Pelodiscus sinensis: one gene and its partners. The protein of the gene in region 1 purifies or fractionates together with the protein of each later gene. This does not show direct contact. Links are inferred from orthologs where the notes say so. Each region holds a gene or a part of one and is shown on either strand. Other genes may lie near its edges.

Region 1 (7,064 bases):
GAAGTCATGAGTTACAGAGACGAAACCTGCTTCATCATATATATAGTAGCCCAGTGTCTGTGTCTGTAACACCGAAATGCTGGCTGTTCCCTCTGGACAGTGCTGTTGCCTGAAATGCTAGCTGTTCCCTCTGGACGGTGCTGTTGCCTGAAATGCTGGCTGTTCCCTCTGGGCAGCCCGTGCTGCATGGGAAGTGTGGGGCCCAAATGGCCGCTTGCGCCACTTGCTCCCCCGCAGCAGCCCAGCTAAGCGGCGCAGAAGTCAACCAAGTGCCATGGTGGGAGGTGAAGGGGGAGCGGGGCAGGGACGTGCAGTGTGACAGCGGTTCCAGGCCCTGCCCTCTGGCCGTGAACGTCACCACCCCACCCCCTTTCGCCTCCCGCTGTGGTGCTCAGCTGACTTCTGCACTGCTCAGCCAGGCCACCGCATGGGAGCAAGCAGCGCAAGCGACTGTTTGGGCTCCGCACACCCCATGCAGCATGGGGAGCAAGTAGCCCAAACGGCCATTTGGGCTTTGCGGTCCACCGAGTGAGAGGCGGGAGGGGGAGAAGAAGTGAAAGAGAGAGACAGAGAGAGAGGCAGGAGGAGGGGAGAGAGACAGAGAGAGAGGGAGACTGGAGGCTCAGGAGAGAAGATCGACGTGGAGGAGAGACCTGAAAATCCCGTCTTATGACGGGCTAATTGGCTAGTTATAAATATAGGTCCAACTGTATGTCGCTATCTGCCTGTGTCTTTTTTCATTTACTTTCACTGTAAATTCTTTGGGGCTGGGACTATCTTTATGTTCTATGTTTGTACACACCTAGCACAATGAGATCTGAGTCTGTGATGAAATGCTACAATAATAAATGAATAAATAATAATCATTGCAATTTCTTTCAGTATAAACAAATCTAACTTCAATAAATGTACAATATTGTGTGGACTCAGTCATACAATTCCCACTGAAGTCAAGGGGGAATCTTTTCACTGACTGTGCTGAGGGCTGGAATGGACCTATATGAACAGGCTATAAAATAATTTTCCAGTGTCTAGTTGTTTTAAAATTTTGCTATTCTTGAGGGTTGATTTTCTCCTTAAAAATGCTTTTTTTATAACCTTAGCTCCTAATGACTTTTGTCTGGGAGTTTTATCAAGACTGACCTGGCATCTGTGTCAGGATATAATATAAAAAGTGTGTAGGATATAAATGTTTACATATACATTTAATTTTTAATCATAAACTAGTAGCAAAATGTAACTGATGTTTCAACCATCTTGTCTGGTCCATATATCCTGTAGATGTACAAGTTAGAGCACTTCCTGCTCCTCAAGAAATAAGTTTCCCATATTTCAACTACCTGGGTAGCTTCCCATATAACTGCAAGACCATGGTGGATCCCTATCACTATATAATGTACTGCATATTCCTCTCTCCTCTGCCATAACAAACCTTATCTAGGTCTGAGCAATAATATGCCATAAAGGCCCAGTAGAGGTCACTGTAAACATACCCACCTTCACTTGGCAGACACTAGTCTTGAGGATTACTATCAAAACTAGAGGCAGTTTGGGTAACAGCAGTCAAACCACTGAGACAAATGAATCAAGTTATCAGAGAAGCTACTCTGTTTTGGGGAGATCAAAGCATCTGACTTCATATGATTTGTCTTTATGATTAAGTAATGTGATGCTGTGCTCCTAAGGTACTATAGTCTACAAAACCTAAACTGCTGCTTGCTGAAGAGTATGTTTTTCAGGGAATGAAATGGCCGTGAAAGCTTGGCACTTGCATTCCCATTGGTTAAGAAGTGGGTTGGCCCTGGTGTGACCTTCCATCCTTTTGCTGCAGTGCTACCCACATTTTTTTAACTTTGACTACACTAACAGAAACGTATAGCGAGTAAATCTAAACGCTGGTGCATTGTAAAAAGTCTTTCTGTTGGGAGAGTAATTTTTAAAAGTAACTCAGGTTATGTCCACACAGCAGCATTATTTTGGAATAACTGATGTTTTTCTGAAATAACACAGTGCACGTCTACACTACTAGCCTTTATTTCAAAATAATGTCGAGCTGGAGGACTTCTTACTCTGACTCATGGTAACCCTCATTTCATGAGAAGTAAGGGAAGTCAAAGGAAGAATGTTCCTCCTTTGATTTCCTGAGGTGTAGACAGCACCTCGAGTCAAGTTATGCTATTTCGACTTAAGCTATGCAATTGATGTAGCTGAAGTTGAATAGCTTGATTTGACTTTAGCTCTGCTGTGTAGACGTATCCTCAGTGTTTACTGCTGACAACTGCAAGCATTGAATGCATGGAAGGCATTGGAGAGCCCACCGATTTAAAGTTTAATTTCAATTTGGCCCCAATAAAGCATTTGTTGCAGAATTCTTATGATATTTTATTCCTCTGATTGCCACAGTATCAAGGGCAAGAACTGTATCCACCAATCAATCAAACAATAAATAAAATCTTTACTGTTCGTACAGCATAGGCTTCCAGTTAATGAGAAAGGTATGGATTAGTTAAATTACACTTCACTTAGAAAGAAAATGTTTTAACCAAAAAGGGGAAAATGCATGAAAATTTCATGACCCTGAAATTTTCAAAAAAATAATTGTGGAGCTTTTATGAATTCTTTCAAAGGGCACAACTGTGTTTTTCCAAGCAATGATTCCTATTTCTTTTTATAAGAAAGTCCAGAAATATTGCAGCTGGCCTGAAAAAAATTGGACCATCTGCCCTCTTTCTCCTTTGCCTCTGTCTTTGGATTTTCTCATAACTTTTTTTCTCTCAATGGCTACATTGCCAGAAGAGGAAGACAAGAAAATTTCTCAGACATTATTACTCAGTGTGGTTGCAGGAAAAAAATTCTTCATGGGAAATCCCCCAATGTCTGAGAAGAAAAAGTAAAATTCAGCAGGAATCCCAGTCCCCAGGTTAGCGTGCAGAATCCACAGGATGGCCTAGATGTATTTTTAATCAATCTAGGTGCTTTCAATATTTCACTTGATCTTTATCAGTGAATGTCATCATACCCAATAGGAATTATCAGAGAGGGATATCTAGATAATGGGTAACAATAAACAGCATGCCATTGGCAAAAAGAGAAACTTTTTCTGGTGAGAAGAAAAAATGTTAACTTAAATATGTAAATTTTGGGAAGGGGGAAAAAAGTGAATTAATCTTTGATAGGTACTGTCTCAGTTGGAGTGGGAAGGGAAACCTGCTGTATGTGCTTGATCCTACACAGGAGAAGTTAATGGGAGATTTACCATTGACTTCAATGGAAGCAGGAGAAAGCCCTATGCAGAGCAAGCTTTACTCTTAAAAGTAGTCGTTTTATGAGGCTACATTTATGGAAATTGGGGCTTCTGAATAGTTAAAAGGTTGTTAGTTCCAAACTCATCTGAGGTTTAAGATGTATTTAGTGTGGCTGCTATTGACTACCAATGCTAGTTCTTACATTTAAATAGTGCCTTGCACCACAGGGTATTACAAAATTAGCAAACTGACAGATGGGGGGCTGGTGTGAAATACAGCACAGCGGGACACTGTGGGAATACAGCATCCAGCTGCAACCCCAGGGGCTTTTAGAGAAGCAGCACAGGAGCTGTGATGTGGCCAAGACAACCCTGGTCTTTGCACAAAAAAGTGGCATCTTCATGACTCCAAGTGGTAGTAGGGGGGACACTGCTTGTGTGCCTCTCAGGCAGGCAGTGGCAGGAGTGACGGCATTGGCATCTCCCCTGTGGTGCCGTTTTAGCCTTGGAGAACCTGTGAGTACAGAGTCCCAGGGAGACCAGGGGAAGGGAAACCCCAGGATGGGAAAAAGCCAACTCCAGGGGCACGGCAGGGAAGTACCTGGGGAAGGGGGTTAGTCACAGAGCTGTACCAAGTACTTTCCCTCTTGTGAAAAAGGGGGTGGGGGAAAGCGAAGAGGGGCGGGTCAGTCATGGGGATTCCTTCGCTGCGAGTCTCGCCTGGGCTTTTATGTAACGCCTCCCGCAGCCAGGCGCAGGCTAGTTCTTGCTGTTTGACTGGCCTGGAAATTCCCAGCCAGCGGCTCCTCCCCCTCGCAGAAATCCCCTCAGCAGAGGGCGTATATCCAGCGCCACCGCGCGCCGCCGCTCTCACTCTGACGCCCGGAGCCGCTTGGTGAAAGATCCACAGGGGGGGACCTATTGCTGCGCCTGCCCGTCCTGTGCTAGCGGCGGCCCAGCCATGTTGCACCCCAGCTGCATTGCGGATGGCCAGCGGGAGCTGGCGATGGAGAGCCGCGAGCCACTGAAGAAGGAGCGGCAGCTCGGCTTGCTGCAGGACGACCGGCACGACAGCGGGCTGGACTCCATGAAGGAGGAGGAGTACGCGCTGCTGGTGAAGGAGCTGCGGGACATCCGGCTCCAGCCCCAGGAGGAGCGGGGGGCGCCGCACGCGCCGGCCCAGCCTTGGCAACAGCAAGTGACCGAAGAGGGAGACACGTAAGTGTGTGTCCTGCGCCGGCTGCACGGAGACCCCCGCGCGGGGCGCTGCGAGACCCGGGGGCCGCGGGCGGGCGCATTTGAAACGACGATTGCTTTTAGATAAGCGATAGTGGGTTCTACTCAGAACCTAGCTGAGCCCTGCTGGGGGGCGGGGGGGCGCTGCGGGCAGCGCCAGGCGCCGTAGGGCTGCGGAGTCCAGCGCTGGCCGCCCGCCAGCCGTGCCGGGAGGGGATGTACAGAGTGTGCTGGCGGGGCGGGGCGGGGCCGGCGCGGCGCCCGGCTGGGCGGAGGGGGAAGGTGCGGTGGAAAGTCCCTGGCGCGCCGCCAGGAACACAGCTCATAACAACCCCGCGGAAAACACCAGGCCGCGGCCTCTGAAAACCCCAGGCTTGCGAAAGCCGCCTGCAGCCTGTGCACGTGACTGCCGGGGCATTGCCCGGGGCTGGCCTGCTGATCCCGTGAGCTCACGTCCTCCCCTGGCTCATCGTTCCCGGACCGACTTTGAGGGGTTGTTTCTTTTTTCCCCCCTCTTGCAGATTTCTCCACTTGGCAATTATTCACGAAGAAAAGGCCTTGAGCGTGGAAGTCATTCGGCAGGCAGCTGGTGATCCTGCCTTCCTGAACTTTCAGAATAACCTGAACCAGGTATTTTAAGCCATCTGCCTTCTTGCTTAAACGAGCCAGGTTGCCTGACGCCCTTGGTGATTTCAGTAACTGTGTCATGCAAAATTGTACATTCGGTTGATATTTAATCAGCTGAGCCCCTCTCCCTCCAAGACACAAGATTGCCATTGTCCACAGATAAACTTCTGTTTGTGTACAATCAACATTTGAAACGACACTGGCATTTGAAACGATGGATTGCTTTTAGATAAGCTGTAGTGGGTTCTACTCATCCATTATTTCCATGAAAAATACACCCTTAATTTGTACTGGCCCTCTGCGGTCAAGGGAGCTTTAAATCAGTCACTTCCAAATTAAAAGAGAACTGAAGAAGTCGAGCTAGAGCTGCTAGAATCACCAAGTGGTTGAAGGGTTATATACTCAGTTGCTGTCTCTAACATTTCCTGTTTGTCATGTACCTTATACTAGTTTGTTTTCTTTTTTTATTATAGACACCACTTCACCTGGCAGTAATCACAGAGCAGGCTGAAATTGCTGAGTCTCTTCTCAAGGCCGGTTGTGATCCAGAAATCAGAGATTTCCGAGGAAACACACCACTTCATATTGCCTGTGACCAGGGGTCTCTCAGAGCTGTCAGCGTCCTTACTCAATACTGCCAGCAGCACCACCTATGTTCAGTCCTGCAGTCAGCTAACTACAATGGTATGCATGAAATTCTTAGCAGCTAGTGTTTTTGTGACATGAATTTCAGAGTTTTATGAAGATGGGAGGCTGAGGCCTAGCTGTAAAATGATTTCCCTGAAATCACACTGCAGTCAGTGCTGGAGCTCGGAATAAGTCTCAGCTCCCTTGACTGCAAGTGCTTAACTCTGGTTTTCACACTCTTCAACTTTACACTTTGATTTTTAGATAACACTGTTTAGATATTTTTTTAAAATTGTAGACATTTTACATGTTTCTGTTTCTACTTTGTTAAAACAAGTTCCGGTGTACCACTGGGTGGAAAAAAGGCACTGCGTTTAAAAAATAACGGTGCCTTAGACACAGTACAACGATGATTAGAGAAATTTAAAAGTTCATGTAGAACATTTTACATTCAGTTTAGATAATGGTGATTGTATTTCAAACTCAAAATATGATAGTGTGTTAGGGGTGTTAGAAAGTGACTAATAATGCATTAAAGTAGAAGTACTTAATTTGTACCTATGTTCTTGTTTTACAGGACACACGTGTCTCCATTTGGCATCTATTCAAGGGTATCTGGCTATAGTAGAATATTTGCTGTCCTTGGGAGCAGATGTCAATGCTCAGGTGTGTATTTGAAGCTCTTTGTTTATCCAAACATGATAATGCTGGAATAGGAATATCCAGTTTTTGTAGTGCCAAGCCTAACTATCCTGTTTTATTTTTACTTACCAGGAGCCTTGTAATGGCAGAACTGCCCTGCACTTAGCTGTAGATCTGCAGAATTCAGAACTGGTGTCACTTCTAGTAAAACATGGGGCTGATGTGAACAAAGTGACCTACCAGGGCTATTCTCCATACCAGCTGACATGGGGAAGAGAGAGCTGCAGGATACAGGAACAGCTAAAGCACTTAACCATGGCTGACCTACAAATGCTACCAGAAAGTGAGGATGAGGAGAGCTGTGAATCAGAATCAGAATTCATGGAGGATGAAGTAAGTAATTATTTTCACCCTTTTATAAGGAAGGACTAAATTTTGCCCTTATAAGCATCTATATGCTCCTATTAAAATTGTCAGAGAAATGTGCCCATAATTCTTAGGTGTTATTTCCTGATGTTTTGATGGCATATTGGATGGCCTGTTGACTGTATTAGATATATTTCATCTACACACTCAAAATAAACTAAAAATATAAATTAGTAAGCATTAGGAGTGCAATATAAGGTCTAAGCATTGGACACCTAAAGCCAGAGGTGAAAGTAAGCTGGTGTACCCCAGTGTACCACTT
Region 2 (7,628 bases), on another chromosome or scaffold:
GCTGGCCACTCAGGGGTTTTAGCACCGGCTCCCCACTGCTTCCCCCCCCAGGGGCAGCCGGCGCTCGGGGAGCGTGGTGGCTCGCTGACTCTCTGTGGGGCTGGAGCATGAATACCAGGGAAGCCCCAGGCCTTGGGGGCCAGATCAAGCCAAGCCACGGCCCGTAGGTTCCCCATCCCGGCTGTAAAGTGTCCCTAAGGGTATGTCCCAGGTTCACCCTGAAGATTCCCTCTGAAGTCCACCGGAGTCAGTGTCTGCCGGGAACCGCATGCCAGCTGGGGGAGTCCCTCTGTGCCGGCTGAGCGACAGGAGCTCTCCAGCTACCTTCCAGCCCTTCGCTCCCAGTGTCTGCGCAGGGCTGTGGCTTCCTGCCTGCAGCAAGCCCCTTGCTCGCCCAGGCCCAGCAGACGACGGGAGGCCGGTGCTTCCTAGAGGTGCTCCGAGTGGCGTTCAGCCTGGGCTCTGCTGCCTGGGGAGCCGACGGAAGCCCGTCCTGGCAGGCCAAGGGCTGGTTTGGCTGGAGCACAGGCAGTCGCCTTGGCTTCTCCCCAAGGAGAGCCTCTTGCAGTGAGCCGCAGGACGGCCCTGAGTCCGTGCTAGGCTAGCATGCTGGTCCAGGCTCCTGCAGCAGCTGCATCCTTTGGTCCTCGCACCCTGGTCCTGCAGGGAATGCTCCCAGGGAGCACACCTTGCGGAGGAGTGCAGAACAGGGAGCCTTCCCTGTCCCCTGGAAAACGCTGAGCACCGTTGTTCCGGGTGCCCAGGTGGGATCCTGCGGGGTCTGCCATGCTCCAGGACTTGCTGTTTGTCCTCCAAAGGGATCAGGCAATAACTGAGTCGAGGGTCAGCTTGGTGAACCTCCTGGGTAGATGGGGAGGTTACAAATACAGCAGGATGCTGGCAAATAAGAAATTAACTGAGCGCGACAAGCCGTCCAGGAAAGAGCAGTGGGGAGGAGGAGCTGGGTGCAGAGAGAGGAGAGGGTTCACCAGCTATAGCACAGGGTGGGTGCTCATGGGGCGTAGGCCTGCGTCCCCGGTCTCTGCGCCCCCGAAACACCGCGCTCTCACAGCAGACATCGTGTGCCCGGGCTGTGCTCCCCGCCCGCTGGGAGGAGGATCAGCTACGTGAGTCAGCATGTGGAGATGCTGCGGCAAAAATAGTACCTGTGATACTGGGTTGTATTGGTAGGCACGGCGAGCGTGAAATGTCAGCGGGCAGGTGGAAGGGGAGGTACCTACAGACAGTGTGTCTGGGGAACTGAGACCGGGGGCAGAAGATGGCCCATCAGGCACCGGCTGGAAAAGGATGCTGCTTAGGCTGTGTATCCTGCTATGGTTTTGTAGCCTCTTCTGTCCTGAAGGAATCCACGTGCTTACACAGGCTGCCTTGCTGAAATGCAGCTGCTTCTGGGGTGTAGCTCGGCTGCCCTGCACTTGCTTTCTCTGGAATAGCAGGTCTCAGTCTCTGGCATGTCTTCCTGGGCCCAAGGGATCTAGCCGAGCCTGAAGGGCCAGAGGAGACAGGCAACAGCTCAGCTCTCCTGGCACAGTGCAACTCTGTGCGGGAGCCAGGCTTTTCCAGAGACTGTGGAACAAACTCCCTCAGGCACTAAGGCCCATCCCAGACCCCGGTGTGCTGCTTTGCTCCCCTGCTCTAACATGGGAGTAGACGATGAGAAAATGTTCCAGAAGAACACTCTACGGGCACAGCCGCATGCCAGGCGTCCATCCTGGCCCTGGCTGCATTGCTAGGAGACTCTCTGTGGATTAAAACACCGGCTGGGGGAAATCCATTTCGCCCAAGGACATCGGGGCCTCCCACCCATGATCCTTCATGTCAACGCCAGGCTGCCTGGTCCCAAAGGCTCTGTGTTACGATGGGCTGGCCTGGATCTACCTTGTGCCCAAGGCGAGGGGCTAGGATATGCCGCCCGTGCTCTGTGGCCTTTGTGAGCTGCCGTGCGGCAGTGGTGGAGTCCCAGGGTTGCTTTGTGATGGGGTCTGCCAGGAGCCAAATAGCCCTGGTCCTCCTCAGAGTCCTCCTCGCATCCCCAGGGGTTCCTCCCGGGCGCCCCTCCCCGCTCACAGCATCTCTTCCTAGTGTCTCCGTGCCGGCAAGGTGGCTGGTTGGCAGAGCACGTAGTCCCGCTGCCCCCGGCCACGCATGCAGGGCAGCCCCTGGCTAGACTTTGAGCGGAGGGAAAATCTCCTTGAGAATTTTTTCCTCCCTTTGACTTCTGCAGAAAATGAGTCACTGCCTGTGCAATCCCCGTCCTACCCCTCGCTCTCCCCCACGCACCCAAAATCCCCACGGTGGGGCCTGCCGGCAGCCAGTGATTCATGGTGTGAGAGTGCCGAAGAGTGGGAACCGGGCCGCTGCCGCGGCCGGGGGAGAAGCCAATCTGGACAGGGACCGGGGGCTGCGCTGAGGTCCTGCCCTACCAGGTCCTGCCATTCGCAGCCCGGGGACAGGACTGGAGCCCTGTGGCTGGCAGGGGCTGAACGGGCCGTGGAGGCCCAGCCTGGGGAGGGGAGAGTCACTGGCACCAGCTGCCGCATCAGTCCGAGGCTTAGATCCAGGGCCTCAGTCCCTGTGCGCCAAGGCTGGCCTGGAGGCGACCTGTTCGGAGTCTCTCCCCTCCAGCTGCCCTGTTCTGTGGCCAGGGGGCTGGGTGCCTCACTGGGCAACCCCCATTCTGCTGCCATCTCTGGGGCGAGGTGGAAAGTGCTGCTCTCAGCCGGGCGGGCAGGGAGGGTCTGTGCCTGGTCCCGGGGGAGGGAGTGGCTGGCATTGGGGGGTATCGCTCGGCCCCCCGGGAATGGGGAGAGATGAGCAGGACCTGCCTTGGAAGAGGACTGGGGCTGAGGGACGGTCTCCGTGCTTGGGGGGCAGAGGATGGGGCCGTGGGCAGGTGGCCATGGAGCAAGGCTGCTTTTCTGTGCCCCTTAGCTCTGAGCACAGAGGATGTTGTATTATGCGAAGCAGCAGGCTTGGGGGTGGAGGAGGGGGCTGGGATGCTCTGGCTCAGAGGCAGTTGCATATACACACAGCAGGTCTAGCCGTCTGGTGTTGCGTTACCTCGCCAAGGTTTCTGTGTCCTTGGAGGAGCATCAGAAGGGGTTAATCCCTGTTGCCTTTCATAGCCAAGGATCCCTAAACACTTGGCCTCTGAAATGCGGCCACCTCTGGGGTGGAGCCAGAGGCCCACCTGCTGGAACGCCGCATGCCAGCAGGAGGGAGGCCGGGGCAAACCCATGACGCTAGAGGCTGGACCGTGGAATCTCCGGCCCAGCCTGGTGCTGGAATAGCGACTCAGAGCAGAAGCGAGAGTCGGCAGTGGGGAAAGCAAGCGGCCTGCCGGAGTTTCCGGCCCAGGGCAGGGCCAACCCCAGCTCTGCCTCTCCGCTGCGCCCTCCTAGTGACTGACTGATTGTGAATCTCTGGGCCTGGAGGTGAAAACTCCCTCTGTGTTTCAGAAGGGCAGGAAATGATTTGCATAGCTCGCCTAGCCCCGCCCCGGGGTCACCCACAGCCAGCCCTGGCATTGCTGGGAGTCGGCTGTGCTTCTGGCTGAGGGGCTTGTGGGGCTCCCAGCCTGGCAGTGACAAGGGAGGGTCCATGCATGGGGGGATGTGCGCAGAGAAGTCGGTATTCCGCACCGGCCTGCGGCTAAGGTAGGGGGGCACCAGGCGGGCAGGGGAGTCGGTGTGTGAACCGCGGGGTGAGTGGGGGGGGCTTGGCGAAGGGTGCGCTGGGGCCAGGGGGCTTGTGTGTTGCAGGGTCAGTGTGTCTGCTGTAGGGCAGCTGGGGGTGTAGGAAGGCTGGGGGCAGTGGGGGGGCTTTTCTGGCTATGGAGGGGAGTGAGTGGAGTGCTGCGGGGTGCCCGCAAATCAGGCAGCGGGGTGCCGGGGAGAGCGGTGCTATGGGGCAGGATGGGCAGGAGGGGTCTGGGGGGAGCGGTGCTATGGGGCAGGATGGGCAGGAGGGGTCTGGGGGGAGCAGTGCTATGGGGCAGGATGGGCAGGAGGGGTCTGGGGGGAGCGGTGCTATGGGGCAGGATGGGCAGGAGGGGTCTGGGGGGGGCGGTGCTATGGGGCAGGATGGGCGGGCGGATCCGGGGGGGCGGTGCTATGGGGTAGGATGGGCGGGGGAATCCTGGGGGGGCGCTGCTATGGGGCAGGATGGGTGGGGGAATCCTGGGGGAGCGGTGCTATGGGGCAGGATGGGCGGGGGGGCGGTGCTATGGGGCAGGATGGACGGGGGGATCCGTGGGGGCGGTGCTATGGGGCAGGATGGGCGGAGGGATCCGGGGGGGGGGGCGGTGCTATGGGGCAGGATGGGCGGGGGGGCGGTGCTATGGGGCAGGAGAGGTCTGGGGGGGGCGGTGCTATGGGGCAGGATGGACGGGGGGATCCGGGGGGGCGGTGCTATGGGGCAGGATGGGCGGGGGGATCGGGGGGGCGGTGCTATGGGGCAGGATGGGCGGGGGGATCGGGGGGGCGGTGCTATGGGGCAGGATGGGCGGGGGGATCGGGGGGGCGGTGCTATGGGGCAGGATGGACGGGGGGATCCGGGGGGGCGGTGCTATGGGGCAGGATGGGCGGGGGGATCCGGGGGGGCGGTGCTATGGGGCAGGATGGGCGGGGGGATCGGGGGGGCGGTGCAGGGCGCCGGGGTCAGGCCAGGTGGCGGCGGGGGGCGGGGCCAGGCGGCGGGGGCGGGGCCGGGGGCGGGGCCAGTGACGCGCGGGCCCGTCATTTCCAGCCCCGGGCTGGGTTTCTAGGGACTTTCCGGGCGGCCCGGCCCCAACTTTCCTCCCCCCCCAGGCCCGGCCCCGCCCCCGCCGCGCAGCCCGGCCCCGCCATGGACGAGCCCTACAACGCGGTGAGACCCGGCGGGGGGGCCGGTGGGTGCGGGGCTCGGGCCCCCCCTCGCTGTGCCGGGCGGGGGGAAGGATGGGGGGGGCCGGTGGGTGCGGGGCTCGGGCCCCCCCTCGCTGTGCCGGGCGGGGGAAGGATGGGGGGGCCGGTCGGTGCGGGGCTCGGGCCCCCCCTCGCTGTGCTGGGCGGGGGAAGGATGGGGGGGGCCGGTGGGTGCGGGGCTCGGGCCCCCCCTCGCGGTGCCGGGCGGGGGGAAGGATGGGGGGCCCGGTCGGTGTGGGGCTCGGGCCCCCCCTCGCTGTGCCGGGCGGGGGGAAGGATGGGGGGCCCGGTCGGTGCGGGGCTCGGGCCCCCCCTCGCTGTGCCGGGCGGGGGGAAGGATGGGGGGCCCGGTCGGTGTGGGGCTCGGGCCCCCCCTCGCTGTGCCGGGCGGGGGGAAGGATGGGGGGCCCGGTCGGTGTGGGGCTCGGGCCCCCCCTCGCTGTGCCGGGCGGGGGGAAGGATGGGGGGGCCGGTCGGTGCGGGGCTCGGGACCCCTCGCTGTGCTGGGCGGGGGAAGGATGGGGGGGCTGGTCGGTGCGGGGCTCGGGCCCCCCCTCGCTGTGCCGGGCGGGGGGAAGGATGGGGGGGCCGGTCGGTGCGGGGCTCGGGCCCCCCCTCGCTGTGCTGGGCGGGGGAAGGATGGGGGGCGGTCGGTGTGGGGCTCGGGACCCCCCTCGCTGTGCCGGGCGGGGGAAGGGATCGGGGGGCCGGTCGGTGCGGGGCTCGGGCCCCCCCTCGCTGTGCTGGGCGGGGGAAGGATGGGGGGCGGTCGGTGTGGGGCTCGGGACCCCTCGCTGTGCCGGGCGGGGTGTCAGGCTCCCCCTGTCCCGCAGTGCCTGGACGGGATGGACTACGACGACTTCCAGTTCAGCTCCCGCCTGATGGAGCAGAAGGAGCCGCTGATGGAGACGGGTGAGGGTCTGGCTGCGCGGGGGGGGGGTCAGGGAGCTGCCTGGCTCCAGGCCGAGGGGAATTCCCAGGCAGGCCCGGATCCCGGGAGTGAGAATTCCCGCTCAGCCGTGGGGAGCCTGGCTGGGCTGGTGATCAGTCCGCAGGGCCTGTCCCGCCCATTGGATCGCAGGGCTCCGGTGAGTGGGGGGGCCTGATCCATCTCCTTCCGCCTCAGCCCCCCCCCGTGCTGCTTCCCGGAGCACGCTCACCCCAGGGGCACTGTGGGGCCCCTCCCTGGCTCTGCTGCAGGGGGAGCGTGATCTGACTTCACCTCCAGCACTGACCCTGCCTCCTCCTCTCTCCTCTGCCCCCGTCAGCGGGTTTCCAGCCGTCGGCCCCGCGTGCAGGTGGGCGCGCTTCACTCGGTGTCTTTCCTTTCTCCTCCGCAGCCGAAGGGCCCTATCTCATCATCATCGAGCAGCCCAAGCAGGTGAGGACTCTGCGGGTAGCCGCCCCGCCCCCCCGCAGCTCCCGCCCCGCCCCCCCGCAGCTCCTGCCCCGCCCCCCGCACACGGCTGCTCCCGCCCCGCTCGTGGCTGCTCCCGCCCCGCAGCTCCCGCCTGCCAAAGCTGGGGTGACAGTAGCTGTAAGGTCCCCTGGCCAAGGCTCTCAACCTGTGCCCCCCGCAGTAGGGAAGGGGCGTAGGCGGTCGGTGTGGGCCTTTTTCCCAGTGGGGTGGGGCCCGGGGCCCTGGCTCTACCAGGCTGTGACTGGGGTTCTGGTTTGGCAGCGTGGGTTCCGGTTCCGGTACGGCTGTGAAGGCCCCTCGCACGGCGGGCTGCCTGGCGCATCCAGCGAGAAGGGACGCAAGACTTACCCTACTGTCAAGGTGAGTGCCAGGCAAGCTGTGCGGCGCGGCGCTGAGGTCCGGGGGTTCCCCGCAGCACCCCGTGTGCCCATGCAGGGAGACTGCTCCGGGGCCGGAGGTGGGAGGTGAACCTCCAGGGAAAGAAAGCTGGGATAAGACTGGCCCCTGTGCTGAGGGGCTTGCGAGGGTTTGGGGAGAAGGGGAATGCGACCCCGGGGGAGCCAGCAGTACAGGTTGCAGGCCCGTGCCCTCCCTCCTCTCCCCCGCAGCCAGGGAGGGCCGCTCACTCCCCCTTCTCCCGCCAGATCTGCAACTACAGTGGCGTGGCGCGCATTGAGGTGGATCTGGTGACGCACAGCGACCCGCCGCGGGTGCACGCCCACAGCCTGGTGGGGAAGCAGTGCAACGAGGCTGGGAATTGCATCGTGACCGTGGGCCCCAAGGACATGACGGCACAGTACGGACCGGGGGCTGGGGCAGGCCTGTGTGGGTACCGGGCGGTGGCCGGGTCGCTGTCGCGTCAGTTACACTGGTGCTGGGCAGGCACAGCTGCTGCCCTCAGCAAGCCCCTGCCGAGATCCCTCTGGCTGGTAGCTGGGCATCCTCTGCGGGGACAGACACGTATTCCCGGGGCTTCTCTTCTCCACCTCGGCCCCAGGAGCCCCCTTCCCAATGCCTCACCCGCACGGAACGGGCGCATCCGCTGACGGGCGTGGGAGACTCCCTGGCAAGCCTGTGCTCTTGCCGGGGCAGGCTGTAGCGCCGGGGGGGCCTGGAACGGGTGAGCTAATGTGCGAGAACCCCCCAGGGCGCTGCTCCTGGGAGAGCAGCAGGCGAACCCCGGGGGGCTCGTGGCTCTCCTGTACCGCGGGACGGGGCTGTGGGGGGCTCTCCTGGTCTCTTGCCCTAGTCGCGTGGTTGGCGACAGGCTGCCTGTCTGAGCC
Region 3 (7,333 bases), on another chromosome or scaffold:
GGGGTTTAAAAGGATCTGACATCTCTCAGAAGAGATCTGAGCACTAGGCTACAGAGTCATTTTAACTCCTTCCCTGGCTCTTTGTGACTAGCCTGGTGCCTTATAGTGGAGGACCACCAATCTTAAGCTGTAAGTAGCCTTGTCTCTAAGCAATTTTCCCGGATTTGTCCCTTTCAGCAGTGCCCAAGAAACCACCTTTATTAGGAGGAGAAAGGGACAGGTGGGCCCTGGGTCGCTGGGCATCTGGGGGGACTAGCAGGTGGCCTGGTGCCCACAGTGGGACTCCATCCCTGCCACACTCACCAGCAGTGGTAGGGCAAGCAGAGCAGTGTGGCCCCAGCTTGATCTGCTCACCTGGCTGCATTGCTTGGGGAGGTGGGACTGCCCCGGCACTTGCTGTCAGAAAGTGGAGCAATGTGGCTGGGAGAGCCAAATGAACTAGAGCCACATTGCTCTGCTTGCCCTGCCGCAATTGCAGGGGGGGTTCAGAACCACAGCCCCACTAGTCCCCAGATCACATTGCTCAGGGAAGAGGAATAGACAAGTGGAGGTGTAACCCACACACCTAGGCTGTGTCTACACTGGGCCACTTATTCCGGAAAATCAGCCGCTTTTCCGGAATAAGCTGTGAGCTGTCTACACTGGCCCCTTGAATTTCCGGAAAAGCAGTGACGATTTACTGTAAGAAATCAGCTGCTTTTCCGGAAAAACTATGCTGCTCCCGCTCTGGCAAAAGTCCCTTTTCCAGAAAACTGTTCTGGAAAAGAGCCAGTGTAGACAGCACAGTAGTCTTTTCCGCAAAAAAGCCCTGATCGCGAAAATGGCGATCGGGGCTTTTTTCCGGAAAAGTGCATCTACATTGGCCACGGACGCTTTTCCGGAAAAAGGGCTTTTCCGGAAAAGCATCTTGCCAATGTAGACGCTCTTTTTCTGGAAATACTTATAACGGAAAACTGTTCCGTTTTAAGCATTTCCGGAAAATCATGCCAGTGTAGACGTAGCCTTAGGCTACATCTATACTGGCAGCTTCTTGTGGAGGAACAGCTGTTCTTCCACAAAAACTTGCCGGCTGTCTACACAGCATGAGCGTTCTTCCAGAAGTAAATTTACAGTATAATACTGTAAAACAGGGCTTCTTCCAGAAGAGTTATTCCTCTCCCCACGAGGAATAAGCCCTCTTGCGCAAGAGCTCTTCCAGAAGTGGCCAGTGTAGACAGGCAACATGAATTTCTTGCGCATGAAGCCACTATGGTTAAAATGGCCATCAGAGCTTTCTTGCGCAAGAGAACGTCTACACTGGAATGGATGCTCTTCCGCAAAAGAGTTCTTGCGCAAGAAGCTGCCAGTGTAGACGTAGCCAAGTTGTTCACTGTCCCATCCGGTGGCATCTAGACCACAGCAACCGATAAGAACAAGATACTTCTCCAACATGGGCTGAGAGTCAGCTGTCTTTTAGCTCAGAGGGCAGAGGCTCCTGTACAGTACTAAGTTTCAGAGGTCCTAGATTCAGATTTGCCTGGTGGTGGTTACAGAGGTAGAGCAAGGGTAGGAGAGGACAGGAAGAGACAGGACCTAGGCTGGAGAGGGGTGGCCTAGCCCTTCCGCAGCTGGGGAACGGGGGTCAAGTGACAAGTGGCCCTCCACATCCCCCTTTACCAGTCACCCCTGCCTGCCCAGTCACTGCAGCTATTCCTAAAGCAGTAGGGGTGTTTGGAACTGCTTCCAAGGCTACGTCTACACTGCAGGCTTTTTGCACAAGAAGGCTGTTCTTGCGCAAAAACTTGCAGAGCGACTACACTGCACGCACGTTCTTGTGCAAGTAAATTTACAGTACAGCATTGGAAAACAGGGCTTCTTCCGGAAGAGTTATTCCTCTCCCCACCAGGAATAAGCCCTCTTGAACAAGAGCTCTTCCACAAGAAGGTAGTGTAGACAGGCAACATGAATTTCTTGCACAAGAAACCCCTATGGCTAAAATGGCCATCAGAGCTTTCTTGCACAAGACAGCGTCCACACTGCCATCGACACTCTTGTGCAAAAGCACGTGGCAGCATGGACACGCTCTTGTGGAAGACCTTTTGCACAGTTCTTGCAGAAGAAGCCTGCAGTGTAGATGTAGCCCAGGAGAATACACCCAGGGCCCAGCACATCAACGGCAGATTTCCTCTGCCTTGTTACAGTGCAGTGCATGCAGCAACACACCTGCCGTACATTCCTGGCCCAATGTTCCCTGGGTTTCAGTGGGTTCCAGCTGGGGGGACATTCTGGGCAGGCATGAGATGCTGCCATTCTTAACTCTGCATTAATTAAGTTTGGGACAGTGAATTTTCAGAGGGGTTGAACACCCAGAGCTCTGGCCACCCGGTGGCTTCAGCTGCTCAACGCCTCCAAAAATCAGACCCAAGAGGTTTCAAGAGGGGCTCCTAAAACCCGAGATGCCAAATCCAGCACCACGTGTTGCCTAAGGAGGTGGAGCAGCCCAGTTGTGCTAATTGAAATCACATGAGCCACTCCTGGCCCTCCTCTCCCTCCATTTTGCACCTGCTCTTGTTTGAACAGAAATTAATTCCAGGGGGTTACATTAACTTTGTGATGCAGGTCAGACAGTGGATCCTTCCAGGCATAGACCCTAGTCCCATGTTGTGCCTTGTTCTGGGTGGTAATCAATGACTCTGGACTGGGACTGTGTCTTCTGTGTGCCCACCACTGTCTACCCCCATGTTCTCTAATGCTTTCATAGCATGGGCCATGTTTTTATCCAGTCTCCCAGGGGGCTGGCCCACCCTGCTATAGCCCATCCAGTGACTGTGTGTAGTTCGGGATTACTCTACCAGAAAAGGTGACAATGAGTCCTGTGGCACCTTATAGACTAACAATGTATTAGAGCATAAGCTTTCATGGGCAAAGACCCACTTCATCAGATGCATGTAGTGGAAATTTCCAGAGGCAGGTATATTCCGCTACTAGAAAAGGAATGATAGGCAAGGACCTGCATATTTTTAGCTTCTTTTAATGTAAGATTGTAGCAGCTGGAAACAAAAGAAGTTGTGGAAGAACTAGGGATGTCAACGTGTAGTCGACTACACAATTAACCGATAAGCCTGGACTTGGTTAATCCTATTAACTACGCGCGCGTGCACACACACACACACCCTTGCTACTTCTGTAGCAAGGGAAGTGGGAGAAGCTGCCACCTCCACCCTCGGGGACTATCAAATAATTGTGTAGCCGCTAAGCTTTGAATTATACGATCATTCAGTTAGTTGATATCTTAACATCCCTAGGAAGAATTACGTCACCTGCCACCTTCCCTGGCCCAACTGTGCCACCATGGATATCCTTAGGATTTAAGGGGCCTTACACAGTATTATGAAATTGGTGCCCCTATGCTCAATGGCAGCCAGGGCGGGGATGATATTTTAGAGTCATGATTTTATAATCTTCAGCAACACACCAATGAAATATTTGAAACTAACGTCATATACACTAATACAGTAAATTCAGAAACATCATGGACCTGGTGTTGGCAAATGCCCTTAAATAGCATCATTACCACTTGATTGGCTCTTTCACAGGCTTTGTGTCTGCTAAGGCAGGTTTTCCCACTTTTGAGTTAACTAGATACTCTCTGGAGGAAGCAGAGCCTTAGAGCAGGGATAGGGAGAAATGGCAGAGTGGACTCTAAGGCCCAGTGGTCCCCCAAGTTTTCCAGTGCCCTATGCAGCTGTGTATACGGGTAGGAATAGCACAGCGTGCCGCCCTCCACCTCCTCCCCTAGCTGAACCCTGCCACCAACTACCTCCCTTGGCTTAGCTGCAAGTGCTAAACTAACAACTTGCTCCTGTACAGGAATCAGGTACCTAGGTAAGCCAGTGAAAGGAGGGAGGCTGGGCTGGGCCCTTCCTTTAACACACCCAGGACAATGAGATCAGACCAGCACGGCAGGGACTGAGACACAAGGCTAGCTCTGGGTGCTCGCCCCCCTCCGCTGACCGACCCCTCCAGGTCCCGGCCCCACCTGTCTGTCCCTGCTGCCCAAGATGCGCTCTGCTTAGTAGCAGCTGAGCTGGAGTCTGGGGCAGAGCTCTGCGGTGCTGGGCCCTCCCCTGCCTCTGCAGGTGCCTGGGAGCCCCAGGACGATGCTGAGGCGGGAGGGCGACCCGAGCGTGACGGCCCCGGGGCCGGTCCCAGCCGGCGGGGTCACGGCAGGGCACCGGACGGCCCGCGGCGCCCCAGACTCGCTGGAGAGGGCCGCCCACGCTGCGCCCTGCGCTGGAGCCCCGCCCCCTTCCCAGCGCGGGGCTTTCCCGTTCCACGGCGGGTGAGCTCACTCGGGCCTGCAGCCAATGAGGCGGCGGCCGGCCGAGCTGGGGAATTCCAGAGCCGTCGCCTCCTCCGCGGACTGCGGCTTTGGGGGAGCCAGCCCAGCACGGGGAGCCGAGCGCCGGGCCCCGCCATGCGGGACACCAGGGGACGGCAGCCGCGGCCGGAGGAGCTGGCTCTCCCGCGGGGTGAGGGGGCGGCGCTGCGGCCGGGGGGCGCTCCGGGCCGCCTGCCAGCGGTGGGCAGGGTCAGTGAGGAGGCCCGGGGGGACCCGTTAGGCCTGGGGCAGTGGCCCTGTGGGAGCGAGCGGGCGGCCCGGGGCATGCGGAAGCCGCGGGGGCGGTGCCGGAGGCTGGCGCTTAAGACCGCGACGGTAACTTTGTGGTCCCGCGCCGCCTCTCTCGTGTGAGCCTCGGGAACCTACAATCGCAGCCCGGTGCCGCCAGGCTGGCTCGGCTCCTCCGCCTAGTGCCCTGGACCCGTCCCCGTCCCCGTCCCCGGGCGCTGCCTCTTTGCGTCGGTGCTTGGCTGGGACTTTGGGGAAGTCTCTCCTTGCTGTCCAACCGCGGGGAGGAAGAGTGTTGTCTCCTGGGCCAGGGACTTGTGGGACTCAAGTTTTCTGGGATCTCCTTGAGCACCTGGCTGAGCCACCTGCTGATTTCCCTGCCAGGTGCTGTCCTGAGATGCAAAGGGGGGCGGGGCACAAGGCAGGTGGCTGATGGGGTAACGGTGTATCCTGTCTTTTTAGGTGCTGCCGTTCCAGATCCGGGCCTGGCCATGGCACATACCACGCAGGTCTCCAGTAAGGGAGCTGTGATCTCAGCTGAAGGTAATTCCCTCCCCCTTATAGCTAATAACACTTCTGCCTTGGCTAGCGCTCTCCATGGTCCGAGAATGGTACAGAAATGAGAGAATGAATCTATCCACCATTGCCCCCACTTTACAGATGAGTAAACTGAGGGACAGAACGAGTTCAGGCCATGGGGGAGCGGATGGTAGAGTGAGTTAGTACCCAGGAGTCCAGGCTCCTGGACCTGTGCACATTTATGCCAGCTTTACAAACTCCCAATCCCATACCTGCACTCTCCTTCCACCTGGCCTCAATTGAGCCTATCTGTGGCTCCAGACAACTGATTCTGTGGGTGCTCTTCTGCCACAGGCCCCACCCTGATCTCCCAAGGGGACTTGTGGAAAACACACATTTCAGTCGGCCCTGCATTTCTATCCTGGTACCACTACAGTAGGGCTGTGCTTTCAGGATTGTCCCTTGTGCAGTGCACTGGCTAAAGGAGTAGTTCTGCAGCCCAGCATGGTAGCTTCCACCCCCTAGTCTTCTCCTCAGCACTTGCTGCTCTGCTCTCTGCCTGCTGGGGGAACAGGCAACTCTTGCTGACTAAAGGTTCAGTTTGCACCTGTGTAACCCACACACCTGCTGAGCATGGTGCTCTGTCCCATGGAGTGGCACTGAGACCACTTACAGAGAGAAAGAATGAGCTTGCTCTACAGCCTTAGCTGAGTTTTAGTTCCTGTGGTAGAGACTCATGCACTTAGCTTCAAAGGTCCCTGCTTTGGGCCCACTGGAGGGTGTCACACTTGCACTGCAGGCCCAGTGGTGCCAGCAGTCCCACAGGGTTCAAACTGCCATGTTGTTCCTATCTCTTAGGGATGTAAAAGAGTAGTCAAGTCATATTCCCTCCCCCCTTACTACTTCTGTATCAGAGGCAGCAAGTGTGTGTGTGTGTGTGTGTGTGTGTGTGTAAGGTGGGGAAGTAGGACCAGGTGCTGGGGAGAGCTGGCTTAAAAGCTGGCTACCCCCGGCACAGTCTCCCAGTGCGATTCTCTGCCTCCGTTAGAGATAGCAGCACAAGGGCTGCTGCTGGAGCAGCCTCCATCTGTGGGGGATCCCAGTGAGACTTAGGATCCCCCCCAGACAGGAGCTGCTTCACTGCAGCAGCTTGTTGGGGGGAGAGTGGGGGAACAGGGCAGGGGTGTCCCCACTCCCCACTAGGACTGCCCTGCGGATGGGGTGTCTAGACCCGGCACAAGCCAGGACTGCTCAGTTGTGGTTTGCGCTGAGACCCAGGACCTACCCCGCTGCAGCTCTGCATTTTAAACGTAACAGGAGCCAGTCTTCCTGCGTGCCCGGTTCCTATTACATTTCAATTGCAGAGCCGCAGCAGGGGTAGCTCCTGGAGCACTCTCCCATATCGACTAATCATGTAGTCGATACGAATTGTATCGACTACACAGTTAGCCAATTGCCTGCCTCTTAACATCCTTAATCTCCCTCATGCCACGTGAAGTAGGAGCAGCCACCGCTGTAGAGCTCACCACGGTATCTTCAGCTGAGTGGGTAGCCACTTTTACCTGGCCCCTCTGGCATGAGGGAGGGGCTGGTTTGAGACGTCAACATTTAAGCATCTGCATTAGAAAAGCTCATGCTTTCTTTTTCCTTTACAGATCAATTAGGTGAGTGGACAATGGGCAGTGGGGGTACAGTGACCTCAGGTACGTACAAGTGCTCTAGGCCGGTGGCAGGCATGTGGCCCATTGGGGTTCTAGGTGTGGCTCACAAGAAATTTTGTTTAGTGTTGCCCCCGGTTCTGCAGGTTTTCATCTGTGCAGTTTTTTCCTACTTGTATTACCCTAGTGACACGCACAAGCCAGGGCACATGAAGTGAGGTCCATGCTGAATGCACACAACACGGACTATAAACGAAGCATGCTCCCTCTGCATTTAAAGCGCTGCTACAGTTCCAGCAGCACCTTCTGCAAATTCTAGGTATGCCAGCACAGTTAGCGAAGCTACCCTATCCCGAGAGACCAGCTTGGTTACAACCATCTTGTGGCCCATTCACTAGCCTGGGTTGCCCATGGTTGCTCTGCAGTAAAGGGGAGAGGTAACATGCAAGCGTGGCAAGGCAAACCCTGCTATCATTCCCCTGCGCCCTCTCCTTGAAGCCCAATTCCAGGGCTTTAGCATTGGACCCAAAGAGCAGGTAAGGGAATA
Region 4 (7,908 bases), on another chromosome or scaffold:
GCTGAGCTGCACTCCCAAGACAGGCGGGCCCGGGGTTAGAAATTGTGAAAATAAATTTGAGGGAGAGTTAGCAACAAAAATCCAAAGAATAAATCCATTAAAAACCCCAACAAGCATGCCTATGCAGTGTGCCACAAAGTGCGTCTAGTTTGCGTAGCTGATGATGGTAGCAGGGCCAGATTTTTAAGCTATTCAGACCCTTCTCCTGTCTTTGGGACAGTCACCAGAGGAGAGAGCCATGCATGTTTTACAGTTCACTTCTCCATTATCAGAGCACAGTGCTGCTCCTCTCTCCCTCCTGAGTCTGTGCTCAACCCATGCTCCCAACCTGGCTTGAGGGGGTGTCCGCCTGATCCAAGGGCCCTCTTTCACAAGATTTGATAGTTTTCTTCTTTTCCCACACTGCTGGGCAGTGTTGTTGTGAGCTGTTAATCAGCTGCCACATCCCAACCCAGAAGTGGCTGCATTTCAGATATAAATAAAAGGCCTTTTAGCTATGGGTGAATCAAACTGTATGTATTTAGAATGATCCACTGAGGGAAAGAGTACCCACATTTTCTGGTTGCCCTAGCTCCTAAAACCTATGCACTCAGGGGTGAGGACCCCATTGTATACACACATAGTAAGAGGCAGTCCTTATTATAGAGCTCACCATGTATATAGACAAGGGTGGGGGGAGGGAGGATTCTTATCTACATTTTGCATGTGGGGAAACTGAGGCACAGAGTGGGCAGTACCCAAAGTCACATAGGGAGTCTGCCGTAAAGCCATGAATTGAACTAACAGCTCCTAACTCCTACACCATCGTCCTAGCCATCAGACCATCCTTGCTTGAGGAGGAGGAGGGGGGCCAGCTCTGGGAGGGGATGTTGACACCCGCACCCAGGAGCCTCGGGGATGGAGTGGGGAGCAGCAGAGCAGTCCGAGTTTCCCGGGGCTGATAACTGTCCCTGCGAGACTCTCCACACACCCACTGCAGGGCCCAAAGCTCACATCCCTCCCCTGCAATAGGAACCTCCCCCCTCCTCCCCAAAACTCAGAACCTAGGGCTGGAGGAGATCTGAGCTGCCCCTCCGAGAGTGAGGCTTGGCCAGCCAAGCCCTCAGCTCAGGACTGAGCGCCAGGCCTCCTGCGTGCTAACCAAAGCGCTGACTCGCCGGGCAGCAAGTCACTGCACGGCCGTGCCTCAGTTTCCCCACTTGCGAAGGAGTAGTACTCGCCTCCTGGGGGGCAGCGCCGGACAGAGACTGCCAGGCCAGCGAATGCTGCACATGCTACTGTAGGAGAGTCATCGCTCGCCCCTGCTCTGCCCAGCGGGCCAGGCTGCGTCTCACATGAACTGGGAGTGGGGCGAGCTAACACTCCCACTAACCCCCCTGCCCTGAAGGGACCCTGCTACGGTGCAGCCCTGAGCCCCCCCAGAGGAGACGGCAAAGCCCCTCTCCACGCCCTGCAGTCGCCCAGCCTTCGCCCCAGACAATTGCAGGGACCCCGCCGTGCGCATCTGCCCGCGGTAACTGGGCCATTTCGTGGGATCTAAACGTGGCCCGGCACCAGCCCTGGATCCTCTTTGCTTCGGGTCCCGGCCAAGCCAAGCGGGTGATTCACGGAACCGATTTCCACAGCCCCTAGCCAGCAGCTGCGCGACCCCTGACCCAACGGGAAGCCCGCCCTGCTCCCCTGGGCTACCCGCCGGCGGGGGCTTGGCTCCGAAAGGAAACCGAGGCACAGCAGGAGCCCTCAGCAGCCCACGCTGCCCTGGAGCGGGTCCAGGCAAAGCGAAAATGCCGCTCGCCCCCCAGCCACGGGACCACCCCGCCACCGACCCAGCGCGTCCACAACCCCCGCGAGCAACCCGGGCGCCCTGCAAAAAGGCCGCCTCTCCAGCCAACGCTTCTTGGGGGGGATCAGGCCAGGGAGAAACCCCCCTTCCGCCGCCTGGGGAAAGTCCGGGTTTTCAAGCCCGCCTTGTAGCATCTGCCAAAGGCTGGAGCTGCGGCGCTCCGGCCGAACAAAGCGACACACGCTGGTGAGCGGCAGATGCTAGAGGAGCCCTGGAAATGGGCTATTCATGGGCATTCGGTCGAGAGCGGACGGCTTGGAGTCTGCGTTCGCTCTGCTGGGCCGTTCAGCGCCACACGCCGCCTTGCTGCTCTGCTCACAAAACAAGTCCCCTCACCCTCCAAACCCAAACATCTCCCGGTACATGGGAAAACGCCGGGATCCAGCAGGCGGATCTGCCGGGGCAGCTACAGTCCAGGAAACAGGCGAATAACACACGCGCAAGCATCACCGTCTGCAGCTGAATAACCCGCATGTAAAAAAAAATACATTCACCCACCTGGTTCCTTTGTCTCCCATGGCCCAGGCCACCCTTCCAGCCACTTGCCAGGGAAGGATCAGAGAGGCGTGGAAAATTACTAGCTGTTAATGTGGAGCCAGAGGAAGCGGTCGTCTCCTGGCAGGAATTGCTTACTCGCGCTCTCACCGCACCAGCGCGCAGACCCCGGCTGCAGACGATGCAGAGAGCTCCACCGGGCTGTCGCCTGGCTCCGTGTCTTAATAACAACAAGACTGCTGGGCGTGTGGCCGTCCGGCCCTGAAGTGCTTTTGTGCGTAGAGATCACAGCCTGGAATAAACCCAGCGGTGGTGCACGGATGTCAACGCAGCCATGAGATGAAGGGCACAGGCGCAAATCCCAGGCACAGGGAGACACACACACACACACGCAGAGGATCCCTTAGAGGGTTGTAGCTCGCAGACACGGCTGCTCCATCTCTCCCATTGACAGCTTCCCCTCCTGCCTCCGTGGAGAGAGATCCACCCTCGCCGGGCTCCGAGCAACACCGCCTCCTACTCCAGGCGTGCACAGCTCAGGACTGAGCCGCGCACAGCTGCTGCAGCCCGTGTGGTAACAGGCTCAGGAAATCAGCATCAGCATCATCTCCCTCCGGCTGCCCAGAGCTGCGTGAGAGCAGGGGGCTGGCTCTGCCCGTGGCCTGTGAACCGCGGAGTGTGTGCACGCAGGGGAGCTGGCCATGCCGCAGCTCTCCAGGCAGGGGAGTTTGCGTTTCCTGGAAACGCTCTGTGACCCTTCTCTTCCTGGTGCCAAACAGCTGGATTTGGGCAGAAACCATCCCAGGCCATTGGCTTGGCTTGCAGGACAACGTACAGCCGGTCTCACCCCTGCACTGCCCCCCCATCCGCCTCTTATTAACCCCTCCAGCACAATGCATGCAAGGGCTTCACAGACAAGAGGGACTGGAATTGCTCCCCTGCAGCTGAAATGCAGCCACCTCTGGAGTGGATCATGGACAGCGCAGAACACGGCCTCTCAGTGCTTAGCGAAGTTCAGTGGGGGAGATCTAGGTTGGATATTGGGGGAAACTATTTCCCTAGGAGGGTGGGGAAGCACTGGGATGGAATCCCGAGGGGGTGGAATCTCCATCCCGAGAGGTTTTTAAGTCCCGGCTTGACAAATCTCTGGCTGGGTTGATTGAGTTGGGATTGGTCCTGCTTTGGGCAGGAAGCTGGACTTGATGACCATCTGAGGTCTCTTCCAAGTCCTATGATTCTATGATTCTAACAGTAACCAGCACTGAGGTCTAGTTCGGCTGCAGCACAGAGATTCCCTGGAGCCACACTGGAATGTACTCCTGTCACGTCCCCTTCCAGTGAGAGCAGCCGGCCATGGTGTCAGTTTGTTCACTGACTACGCCCAGCTGTTTCGTGGTCTGGGGAGGCCGAGGGGGGAGCACGGACTGGTGAGTGTGGATGCAGCCACATGAGTCCGTTAGATAAGCTCCAAACTGCAGTGATGCACGATGGCCCACTTCTGACCAGAACAAGCTCAGTATGCCTTTGCGAGTCAGTGGAAAAGAGGAGGGGGAACCACTAAGCCACCCAGTCCGACCTTCTGTGTATCGCCGCCCAGTAGCCACCCACATCAGACAAAGGGACTGCAGCCCACAGGAGACTGGGCCATGCCGCAGGCAGAGAACACAAGACACCAAAGCCCAAGCACCCTGCAGTGGTGGGGAAATGACTCACTGAGATTTACCCAGGTGATGTAGCGGGTGACCTGCTCCCACAAGCTGCAGAGGAATGAGAAAAAAAAACACCCCAAAGATCTGTGGCCATGTTCCTTCCAGACCCCACCCAGGGCTACAAATGAGACCCTGAGCACAGCAACAAGAACTGGCCAGAGAGAGACAGAGAGAGGGAGAAGATGCTCCGTGTCCCCACTTACCGCATCCAGGTTGTCTTCAAATCAGATGGCTGCCTCAAGAGATGCAAAAATGAGCTCCCTGTATCCATCACCTGGGATTATAGTCGCTCAGAACAAGATACCTCTGGGCTCACACAAATACATTGTCCCTTTCCACTGAGAACTGACAACCCAAAAGGGCAGCAGGAAGGAAATGTCCTCATTGTGTAGCTGGCGACCCCAGGTGCAGAGAGCCAGTGACTTGACAAAGGTCACACAAGGAGGCTGTGGCAGAGGATGGGATCCACAACTCCTGGTCGCCCTCTATGATGTGCAGAGTGAAAGGGCTAGAGAAACGAAGAAGAAGAATGGAGGAGACAGGCTGCCATTTATTTCAGGACATGCACCTCACACAAACTTCTCCACCGTGAAGCACCAGCTAGGGTGAAGGAAGCAGGGGACGATGCCTTAGAGATTGTCTCCATTGCGTAATTCTGTGTACTTGAAAATCTCATTGCTTGTGCCGTTTGTCCCCTCTGGATTCTCTCTGGTGATGTCACTGGCGTTCTAGCGCTCACTTCAAGAAGAAGAGAGCAGAGGCACGCCACTGTGCGTGTGCGTGTGGTATGAAAACTGCTAGTACAGCATGAAGGGCTGCTCTCCGGTGAATAAAGGCCTATTTGTGTAACTAAGTGGTTAGCTAAAATCAGAGGGTTTGGGGGTGGAAGGGGCACTTGATCCTTCCCCTAGGCAGGAGACAGCAGGAGGCAATTTCCATTTCTGAGGCAGATGATGAAGCTATTCAGATCTCCTGAGCTTTACTCTCCTCGGCTCCAGGAGATTGGGGTTCTCTTCCCACAGAAGATTTGTATTTTCTGCCCCAACTTTAGTACCAAGGCATTTTAGGCTGGGAAACCCCCATAGTTCAGTTTCCTAGGTCAGACTACATTTCCCATGGTGCACCTCAGTCTCTCTTCTTGGCACTGCATCATGGGAGTCCCTGGCCCTGATGCATGATGGGAGATGGAGCCCTGCTCCTGGCTCTCATGCACAAATAGATGGTCAAATCCCACGCCATGCAGAAGGAGCTCTGACACTGTGTGTAGGAGGGACAAATTCAGGTCTTTGTCCTTAGACCCAGAGCCCAGCAACAACTAAAACCCTTTGATGCGAAACCTGCTAACAGTTTGCTGAGCTTGTCTGCACAGTCACACGTTCTCACCCCACTGGACTGCCTAGAATAGCACTAGACCTCAAAAGCGCCCAGGCCCCGAACGACCTGCCTGAGGTCACTTCCAGAATGCAAACAGGGCCTCAACTTCTCCACTCAACAGGGTCCCTCCACTGACCCCAATGCCACCGTGTGTGGGTTCACAAGGCAGCAGATGCCCAACAACATTAAACCAATCACGAAGCCCTGGAAGCCATCTCGCTCCAGATAAGGATAGGGCAGGGTTCACTTAGGGACCAGCAGGCCTAGTGGGCCGGCCAGGGCTCAGCAGTCCCCCAAATCCTGGGGTGGGCTTATCAGGCAATCCGAGGGGCTGGTGGCCAAGTTACAGTCTGTCCTTCTCCAGGTTCCCCCGGTCAGACAAAGGCCGGAGGGAGACCTTGGCCCTCCCTCTCCAATAGGTCCCAGCCCAGCACCCAAGGTGGAAGGAGGGTCTCACAGACCAGCCTCCCCTTGGTCACTTCCTACCTCTCCTTGTCTCCCCTCATTTTGGGGCATGGTCAGACACTCATGGAGGGCTGCTGAAGCTGTCTCAGCCACTCAGAAAAACAGCTTCCCCGCCCCCACCCCAGCGCCCAACGATTCCCCTTTGTCAGGGGGAATGGGAGGGGAAAAAGACGGGGCGAGCAGTGAAGGGGAATCCAGGGTCCACTGTTCATGTGACACCTCCCCCCGCAGCCTGGGGAAGGACTGGGACAACCCCCCATTGTTCCAAGCCCTGCCTCTCCTCACCCAAGCTTCACCCCCTTCTGACTCTTGCTCCACCCTCTCCCTGCCTCTTCCTGGCCTTTGCTCTGCCTCCGCCCCACCTCTTCCTTCAGTCGAGGCGGCTCTGGGGGAATAGCTTGGCTGGGGGCAACGCCAGCAGCAGGGTTCTCCCCCCCCCCCCGCACTGGGGGAAGTGGAGCAATATGGCCCCGGCTCGCTGTGCTCCTCCGGCCACGTTGCCTCTTCCCAAGAGCGAGCGCGGGGGCCGTCTCGTCCCTCTCTGATGGACAACTGGAGGAGCAGAGCGAGCTAGGTCCACTTTGCTCCACTTCCCCCTACTGCCATTGAGTCCGGGGGTGAGGGCAGAGCCCTGCTCCAGGAACAGGCCCCCTGCTGCTCTGCCTCAAGTGCTGACCAGCTCCTTGTCTCTCGCACCCATAGCTTTGGGGCACATGACCCTCATGCCCCCCTACATGTCGCCCCAGAAAAGGAATCACACCCGTGGGCCCATGGTCTGGACACACCCACAATCCAGGGCCTCCATGGGATTCCTCTCTCCCAGAAGCTATTGACTGGCTTCCTATCCGCTGACAGCCTCTCCTTGCTGCCTCAGCCTGACCCATCCCCTCCTCAGCAAGTCCTCCAGCTGGTGGAGCAAGCTCTGCAGCTGCCAAGGCCCAGGCCTGCTCCATCACCCCGTAGCCTTAGCAACCTGCATCATGGAGCGTTTGCACATGCGAGCTTGTGGCTCAGGCCCCAGAGCTTGGTTCTAGAGCCAAGCTCTTCTAGAGCATGTAGAGCTTAGGTTTGAAATGGCCATTGTGTCTTTACACGGGGTCTTCATGTCTTACGTAGGCCAAAGCCAAAATGTAAATGCCTTGGCGGCAGCTCTCCCCCCCAACTCCAAGTTTTCAAATGCTCCTTTATTTGGGCCCTTTTCCTCCCTTTACTACTGTGCTGCAGAAAAAAAGGAAACTTACTCTCCTAAAACAACGAATAGTCTAGCAGCACCTTAAAAAGACTAACAAAACATGTAGCTGGCATCTGAGCTTTCGTGGGTTCAACCCACTTCTTCAGATGGCTGGAGTATTAAAAGTCCAGATCCAAGAATAAAAAAGGGAAGGTGTGTGTGTGGGGGGGGGGGGGGGGGGGGGGGGGGGGGGGGGGGGGGGGGCGGTGAGAGGGAGGGTGGAGGAAAAGGAGGAGGAGAAAGAAAAATAAATAAAAAAAAGTAGTGAATTAGATTGTTCAAGTTACACGAGGCTGATAAGAGCAATTAGCCTCTTGTAACTTGATCTAATTCACTACTTTATTTTCTCTTTTTTTCCCCTTTTTCCCTCCGCCTTCCTGTCCCTCCGCCTTCCCTTATTTATTCTTGGATCTGGGCTTTTAATACTCCAGTCATCTGAAGAAGTGGGTTGTACCCACAAAAGCTCATGATACCGTCTACATGTTTTGTTAGTCTTTTTAAGGTGCTGCTAGATGATCGTTTTTTAAGTTTTTCCAGTTACCGATGTCAGGGACTCTAGCCCAGATGACTCGGTTCGTTGTCTGACCGCAAAGAGACAGGCAACACCAGCAAAGTCCAATCACAAGCTCTTTATTGAAGAGTGCACACAACAATAGAGAGCGGCCCGTCTCCAAAGAGAAGCAGCCCCGATTCTAGTGACAGGTAGGCTTATAAAGATAGTTCCGTTGCGTCATAAGCTCTTCACCCAAGCCACTTACCCCCCTTTCTAGAAACTTTTAATATCTATGCAT

What was found.
Region 2: the proteins of NFKBIA (region 1) and NFKB2 purify together in Homo sapiens (affinity purification with mass spectrometry; 6 studies listed by BioGRID and IntAct, counting the BioPlex papers as one, with this or other methods). This does not show direct contact. The link is inferred for Pelodiscus sinensis from reciprocal best matches to the Homo sapiens genes NFKBIA and NFKB2.
Region 3: the proteins of NFKBIA (region 1) and RELB purify together in Homo sapiens (affinity purification with mass spectrometry; 4 studies listed by BioGRID and IntAct, counting the BioPlex papers as one, with this or other methods). This does not show direct contact. The link is inferred for Pelodiscus sinensis from reciprocal best matches to the Homo sapiens genes NFKBIA and RELB.
Region 4: the proteins of NFKBIA (region 1) and beta-arrestin-1 purify together in Homo sapiens (affinity purification with western blotting; 3 studies listed by BioGRID and IntAct, with this or other methods). This does not show direct contact. The link is inferred for Pelodiscus sinensis from reciprocal best matches to the Homo sapiens genes NFKBIA and ARRB1.

Annotation. Positions count from the first base shown.
Region 1 is NC_134714.1:48,030,161-48,037,224, forward strand, and holds the start of NFKBIA (NF-kappa-B inhibitor alpha), read left to right. Parts: upstream 1-4,063; 5' UTR 4,064-4,205; coding exon 4,206-4,462; intron 4,463-5,001; coding exon 5,002-5,110; intron 5,111-5,580; coding exon 5,581-5,791; intron 5,792-6,311; coding exon 6,312-6,400; intron 6,401-6,508; coding exon 6,509-6,769; intron 6,770-7,064. UniProt on the Homo sapiens protein: Inhibits the activity of dimeric NF-kappa-B/REL complexes by trapping REL (RELA/p65 and NFKB1/p50) dimers in the cytoplasm by masking their nuclear localization signals.
Region 2 is NC_134718.1:2,691,758-2,699,385, forward strand, and holds the start of NFKB2 (nuclear factor NF-kappa-B p100 subunit), read left to right. Parts: upstream 1-4,620; 5' UTR 4,621-4,629; coding exon 4,630-4,887; intron 4,888-5,758; coding exon 5,759-5,837; intron 5,838-6,193; coding exon of another isoform or gene 6,194-6,265; coding exon 6,266-6,306; intron 6,307-6,606; coding exon 6,607-6,705; intron 6,706-6,989; coding exon 6,990-7,141; intron 7,142-7,628. UniProt on the Homo sapiens protein: NF-kappa-B is a pleiotropic transcription factor present in almost all cell types and is the endpoint of a series of signal transduction events that are initiated by a vast array of stimuli related to many biological processes such as inflammation, immunity, differentiation, cell growth, tumorigenesis and apoptosis.
Region 3 is NC_134743.1:2,217,989-2,225,321, forward strand, and holds the start of RELB (transcription factor RelB), read left to right. Parts: upstream 1-4,327; 5' UTR 4,328-4,456; coding exon 4,457-4,511; exon of another isoform or gene 4,512-4,570; intron 4,571-4,727; exon of another isoform or gene 4,728-4,993; intron 4,994-5,071; coding exon 5,072-5,152; intron 5,153-6,783; coding exon 6,784-6,831; intron 6,832-7,333.
Region 4 is NC_134711.1:324,012,229-324,020,136, forward strand, and holds the start of beta-arrestin-1, read right to left. Parts: upstream 3,003-7,908; 5' UTR 2,362-3,002; coding exon of another isoform or gene 2,342-2,361; intron 1-2,341. UniProt on the Homo sapiens protein: Functions in regulating agonist-mediated G-protein coupled receptor (GPCR) signaling by mediating both receptor desensitization and resensitization processes.